Macaca fascicularis: one gene and its partner. The protein of the gene in region 2 interacts with the protein of the main gene of each other region in a pairwise test. Links are inferred from orthologs where the notes say so. Each region holds a gene or a part of one and is shown on either strand. Other genes may lie near its edges.

Evidence for each region.
Region 1: the proteins of VAPA (region 2) and ADGRG7 interact in binary tests that used the Homo sapiens proteins (3 or more experiments, as listed by UniProt). The two-hybrid records come from large-scale screens. The link is inferred for Macaca fascicularis from reciprocal best matches to the Homo sapiens genes VAPA and ADGRG7.

Annotation. Positions count from the first base shown.
Region 1 is NC_088376.1:182,389,107-182,392,764, forward strand, and holds part of ADGRG7 (adhesion G-protein coupled receptor G7), read right to left. Parts: intron 2,773-3,658; coding exon 2,660-2,772; intron 1-2,659. UniProt on the Homo sapiens protein: Orphan receptor.
Region 2 is NC_088392.1:78,298,176-78,301,833, reverse strand, and holds part of VAPA (vesicle-associated membrane protein-associated protein A), read right to left. Parts: intron 2,239-3,658; coding exon 2,065-2,238; intron 1-2,064. UniProt on the Homo sapiens protein: Endoplasmic reticulum (ER)-anchored protein that mediates the formation of contact sites between the ER and endosomes via interaction with FFAT motif-containing proteins such as STARD3 or WDR44.

The DNA.
Region 1 (3,658 bases), on a different chromosome or scaffold from region 2:
GCCTAAGTTCTAACCTTCAAGTACCTCTTTATTCTTAATAACTCATAATTTGATGAAGTCTATTTGCCCATTATATATTCTTTATGTTTTTATGATGTTTCATCATGACCCCTCTTGATCTTTGGATTCCCACACTGAATAAAAAAGCTTTCATTCAAACAGCACTCAGTCCGTCTGCTTGACATTTTAGTTGAGATTTCGGGACAATTCAAAATTTCACTAAATCTATTGAGAGGTTTAATGACCAGAACTGCAAAAAGTACTCAAAAGAATCTTTTTATATAAAAGTAAGATTAGATTCTAGTTTTTATCTAATTTTATCAATTATAATCCACAGGAAGAAGAGGTGATTTTCAAATAGCCTGGCCTTTCTTATACATTATTACTGTATAGATGCTCCTCAACTTACAATGAGATTGCATCCCAATAAATCCATTGAAAACTAAAAACATCATTTCAACTTACCATATTTTCAGTTTACAATGGGTTTATTGGGACATAACCCTATCATAAATCAAGAAACGTCCTGAATGCTATCACTTTTGCACCATCTTAAAGCTGAAAAATCGTAAGTTGAACCATGGTCAGTAGGGGACTATCTGTATTCTGTGCATTATTATTATATGGGAACCTGTCCAAGAACAAAGAAAATTTTATAATTCAGGATTTTAAAGTCAATAAAATTTTGTCTTTATTTTTGTTTTGTTTTTTCTCTTTTTTGAAAAAATTTGTTTGAGATGTGATCTTGCTGTATTGCCTTGTTTGAGATGTGATCTTGCTGTATTGCCCAGGCTGGTCTCAAACTCCTGGGCTCAAGCAATCCCTCCTGCCTTGGCCTCCCAAAGTGCTAGAATTACAGGTGTGAACCTCCATGCCTGGCGTTTATTTTTATTTTTGTTTCCTGATGAATTTTAGTGCCATCTATGGTTGCATAATTGTGCTAGAAAATGTATTGATGAAGGAGTAAAGAAATCTGATGACAAATGAAAAGAGTGAGGTTTGGGCAAAGAAACTGGTTATGCAGCAACTATGACTCATACTTATGGGGCCAAATAATCGTCAATACAACTCTGGTGATGGTAGAAATACAAATAATGAGACAAATTTAATAGGCATTTAATTTTACATGACAAACATGTAATTACATGGTATGTAATTTTCCTTCAAGGCACTTACCACCATTTGTAACTGTATATTCAGTTGTGTATATATTTTTATAATGTCTTACCTCTCCCCCCAAAAAGTGTATATTTCATGAGAGATAGGAGATTATCTGTCTGTTCATAGGTTTGTATTCAGCTCCTTACAACATAAGCACTCACTGTAAAACTTTTAAATGAATGGCAAAAGACTCATTTAATGTGAAAAGGGGGAAAAAAAGGAATCGAAAACAATTCTGGCTCTTCGGAGAAATGGCTGGTTCAGGTATGAGGCACAGAAAGTGAAAGATGATCATTTTGCTGTGATTGAAATAAGGAAGTGACTAAAGACTGAGACATGACAAAACAACATGAAGTGGCTCCCTCTGGCTACACTGGGAAGTATGCTTTTTGCAAAAGAGTATAGCAAACAAATATAGAAAGAATGATAGACTAGAGGATCACTATTTTTCAACTACTAATGTAATAATTTGTTCCAGTAAGGATGAGTAACAAGATCATTAAGTAAAAGATTTTTGGGAAACAGGATATCATGCAGCCTCAAAGTGGCACCCCATGAGTCACCTATTATTTACACAGGGAAAAAATGTGGAAATCTGTCAGACATCACTTTAAACGAGGAATCAAACTTACAGCCTACAACAATGAGACACACTGATATGCATTTCTTGTCGTGTCACACTAAAAAAAAATCCATGATTGCAGTATTCCCACCAAAAATAATTAACCTGCATCTCTTCATGAAGAAAATTTCAGACAAATCTTCACTGTGGAACATTTTTCAAAGTAAATGGCCTGGATGCTTGAAAAATTTCAGTGTCATGAAAGACCAAACAAACATGAAATGTGGAGTTGACAGAGGAAACACACAGTAAACAGAGTAAATTAATAAATGAACGAGCTTCTAAAAGACCACAGGCAGTTAAAAAATGTAGCATGTGACAAAACCTAATGAATGGGATACAAAATTGGACCTCAAATGAAGGGGTCAAGGTGGAGAGAAGTATTTGTTTATAGGTCATTATTTAAAATTAGACTTTAAGGTATGGGATTCAAAAACTTTCATCATTTGAAAACCATATATTTTTGGAAAACATTTCACCATTTGAAAGCTCGGTATATTTTTTAAATTACTTTTTTAAAAAAATGCTATTTGCAATGTCTCTTTCCTTTACAAATACAAATTGATAGGCATGGTTCTATTCAACACTAAGGAATTATAGCATTCATGAGCTGCAGGACCACATTAATTTTACATGACAAACTTGTAAATAAGTGGCATATAATTTTCTTTCAAGGCACTTGCCACAATTTGTAATTATATATTTATTTGTGTGTATTTCTTAGCCTTTCCAGGCCTGAATGTCCTCCTCTATAAAATAAGTACATCTCTGAGTTCTCGTCTAGTTCAAAGACACTACATTCTTATGAGAATTTTCAAAGTAAATTATATCAAGATAGCAATTTCTTTTCTGAAAAGAGCCTGCTTCTGCTCTTACCTGGTGACAATCTGAAATACAATTGTGAGAGCCAGACCAGTAATAGACAGTGCACATCCAACATTGGAGAATACGTCAAGTGATTCGGGATACTGATAATCCTTTTTGAAAGTCTGAAAAACAAGTTAAGACTCATATTTTTAAATAATCATCCCTGAAATGTTAATGAAAGTCAACATCACAGAGTTACATGGGTCAAAATAACCAGACAGTTGCCAGACATATCTTCCTTTTGTAAAGCTCTTGATATATTTAACAGTGAAATACATCAACCCCTTATTGCTAAGCAGTTTACCTGAAGTACAGGCTTGAGAATAATTATCTAACTCATTCAGTTAGGGAAAAATATACAGTCATGCCTTGGTATTTGCGGGGGGAGTGTCTCAGAACAACTTGTAGATGCCAAAAGCCGTGCATATTCAAGTCCTGCAGTTGGTCCTGTGGAACCTGCTGATATGAAAAGCTGGCCTCCATATACCAGTTTTACACTCTGACAATACCATGTTATTTTCCATCTATGTTTCCTTGTGGATGCAGAATGTGGAGGGCCAATGTGGAGGGCAGACTTTGTTATTGAAAAAAATCCACATATTAAGTGGACCCATACAGTCTCATGTTGTTCACAAGTCAACTATTTATACTCTTCCTTGATGTCTAAAATCAAAATTGTTTGAATTAGATCTAAATTGTCAAAAGTTGCCTCACTTATTCATGACATTATTTTTATGTGTAACTGGACTCTAAGTATATCTAAGTTGATGCACTAAAAATAAAGTTGCAGAAATATCTTCATAAATATGGAAAGATGCTCATACCCTGTTAATTTTTTAAAGGAAGTCTTATTTTTGTGTGATATATTTATATATCTCTCAACATGTTTGTGTGTGTGTGTGTGTATATGTATGAAAATACATACCATATGAGTATGTAATCTTAGAAATCTGTTGAGGTAGTGGTGATGGTCACAGGGTGGGTTGGATATGTATAGTTCATTTTGCT
Region 2 (3,658 bases):
AATGCTAAAGGGTCTGAAATTCTGTAAGCCAGTGGGTCTCCAAGGTTTTTGTTTTATTTTTTTTGTTTTTTTGAGATTTGCTCTTATTGCCCAGGCTGGAGTGCAACAGTGTGATCTCGCTCACTGCAACCTCTGCCTCCCAGGTTCAAGTGATTCTCCTGCCTCAGCCTCCCAAGTAGCTGGGATTGCAGGCACCCGCCACCACACCCAGATAATTTTTGTACTTTTAATAGAGACAGGGGTTTCACCACGTTGGCCAGGCTGGTTTCGAACTCCTGACCTCAGGTGATCCACACACCTCGGCCTCCCAAAGTGCTGGGATTACAGGTGTGAGCCACCGTGCCCAGCACAGCTTTTTTGTTTTACTTTTCCAACAGCAGAATCATCTCTCAAATAAAATCTCATACAGAACATTAGCATACAAAGAGCAGAAACCAGGAATAAAGTCTCTCTCACTTCCCTGGTTCATTCTTCCTATTTTCCAGACCTGCCCCACCTGTCACTCCTACTGTTTACACTCTCCCCTCCATGCCAGAGGTAAACAGTGGCTTTTGAAAGAAAGCTATTGAGCACCCTAAGGAGCACATCTTTATCAAAGAACAGAACTATGGAAGTCATGGCAGATGAAGTAAAAGTAACCAACAAAATCCTTTAAAAGATCCATGGTGTGTAGGTGTGAAATAAAGATATTCTTCCCGCTATCCAGACAAGCACTTGGAAGCAGAGGGGTACCCCTCAAGGGGGTACTATGAAGTATCAAACATGAAGAGACACAAAAATTCACTTTAAAAAGCATTTCAGCAAAGGAGTTCACAGATCGACTTAAGATACAGTGTTCAGAGTGCAGTTCCTATATACACCTAACAAAAGGAATAATCAAATAACTCCCATCATTTAGCTTATTTTAGTTACATATATTTTTGTATCATCTACGTTGCTGCAAAGAGCTTCAGACAAAGCCTAAAGAGCAACATATAGGAATTCAGGTCTTGAAACAATTACTTGTCAAAGACAAGTATTATTCATAAATTTCACACATATTCAAATCGGTCCTCCTTCACCATCCATTTATTCAATCAAATATATGACTACTACACGCATGTACGGTGAATGCAGAGAGAAATCAAACACTGCCCCTGTCCCCAAGGAAATTACTGCCCACTAGAGGGAGAAAGGCCTCTAACAAGTAAGAGCAGTAGAATGCAATCGGCATAGTGGTGGCACAAAGCAGACAGGACAAATCGATTTTTTTTTCTTTTGGAGAGGGTCCCAGCAAACGCTATACTGAAAAATCAACAAGAATATAGTAGCAAGACATTAATATGTGTATGTGCTGTGTCGGGAGGGACAGGGTTCTGAGCCTTTCCAGTCACAGTGAAGAGCTGATACTAAAGCGAAAGAGGGGTGATAAACAGATGCTTCTCCAGCATACTCCAGCCCAACGCTGTCCCACGCCAATATGTGAGCTTCAAATGTGACCCCATATGTAACGTTAAATTTTCCAATAGTACATTTAAAAAGTAAAAAGAAATGTGTAAAATTCATTTTAATATATTCAATTCAACCCAATATACCCAAACTACTATTTCAGTATGTAACCATTAAAAAAAGAAAAATTTACCTTTTTCTGTACTAACTCTTCAACATCAGTATTTTACACTCAACAGCACAGCTCAATTTGAACAAATCCCATTTCAAGCGCTCAACAGTCCTAGGTGACTAATGGCTATGATGTGGGACAACACAATCCTAGTTCAGTGTGACTGGGGCACAAAATGGGAAGGACAGGAGAAACAAGAGCTGAAGCTGGCAATGCTGCAGGCCAGATCACAAATGATTAGAATGTGTGCTAAGGTAAGGAACTTGTGGCAATGAGAAACCACAGGAAGACTTTTAAGAGAGGAGTAGGGTGGGGAGCAAAGGTCAGGACATAATCAAATTGGGGAAAACAAGAAAGAACTGACCAAGGATAAATTTAAAAACTAATTGCTAAAATGGCCTAATAACACTCACATGTCCTATACCTTCATTTAAATCAACTTATTTTCAACCAACAGAACTTACTCTCAGGTGTCGATTTTCTTCTGACAGCTTCATCATTTCTCCCTGAAGTCTTTTACACTCTTCCATTAGTTTCCTTGTTTCAGTATCATTAAGTGAAACACTGTGTGGTTTTGGCATAGGTCCATCTTGTTTAGATGCATTCAGTGGAACGGTTTTGCTAGGTTCCATGTCATTCTGTATTACAAAGATATTGAGATTTTTTTTACCAAATCTTCTTACAGGTTTTAAACAAACAAAAACATAAATTCTACATCTTTGTTTATGAAAAACTCTTTAAAAGGCCTAAATCAGTACATGCCAGCAGTCAGATTAGTCTAAATAACGAGCCCACTCCCTCTATTCCCATAACCGCTGGCATGTACGTCTACCATAGCACTTTATTATGTATCTTAATAATTATTGTTCAAGTTCTTTCCTATAACACTTCAAAGGCTGGGAAAGCAAGAGCCATCTCTCTTTGTATTTACCCCTAAAACCAGCACTTTGGTCAAGAGTAGTTATTCAATCCAAGTATGCTGAATGACTGACGTCAACAAAATCCAAATATGAAGGTCATTTTCCATGCTCTGGTTCTGCAATTCAAATAAGGTTCTGGGGCGTAGGGGGATATTATTGCAATCATTCCAATAAAATTAGAAACTACCTAAGAAAAAACATGCCAAAAAAGCTAACTTCTATTATCATCTTAGTAATGCTGTTTGCTTTAATCCACGTGATTCAACATCACAGTAAAAATTAGCATGCTCTGAAGACTATGAGCCCCAAAATCTTAATCCTAACCAACACTGAACCATTTGAAGTTAGTGTTGAAGGCCTGGAGATAAATATCTATGACAGCATCTACATATTCTTCAGCCTGTGGTCTAAAGTACCCCAACATCCTTCACTCTAACAGCATTTATGTCACCACACATAGTAGCAGTATTAGAGTAACAAGTTTTTTCATTTTAATTAAATTTTTACTTGCTTTAAAATAATTTTAGAAAAAATCTGCTTTTTCAGCTATAAACTGCTAACAAAGACATTTACAAAATCAACTTTATGGCATTCCACAATACTCATTTTATAAGATTTATCAGAGGCTGCACACCTAACACACCATCCCAGCTGCCAAATTTATATTAAGTATAAACAGATTGTTTGCTCAAAGGGCAAAACTTGTTCTTCTTATGAAGGGGATGTGATTTGATTACTATGCCTAAATCCATGTAAAATCTATTTAAAAATGAAAATTTATAATGAGGTTCTAATCAACAACAGTATGTATTTGACCTGTCGGCAGATTCTTCCATTTTTCTTCAAGCTTCCCAGTTAAGAAAGGTTTAAATTAAAGAAGCATACTTCAATTCTTTCTCTGAGTTTTTCTCTTGCCAGCTTTTTTGTTCTTCACCCCAATCTCTTCCACCCCAATCTAATAATAGCCACCTCTACTATTAAAACACTGCTTCAGATATATCTTACCCTGCCAATACATTTTCCTATTATTTTCCTTAATAGTAGTTAGAACTCATTTCAAAATGATTTTCAGTGTGGTCAAATTCTATCCTAACACAAATCCAACTTCTGATAATGAAGTTGGCACACTGACTTCCTT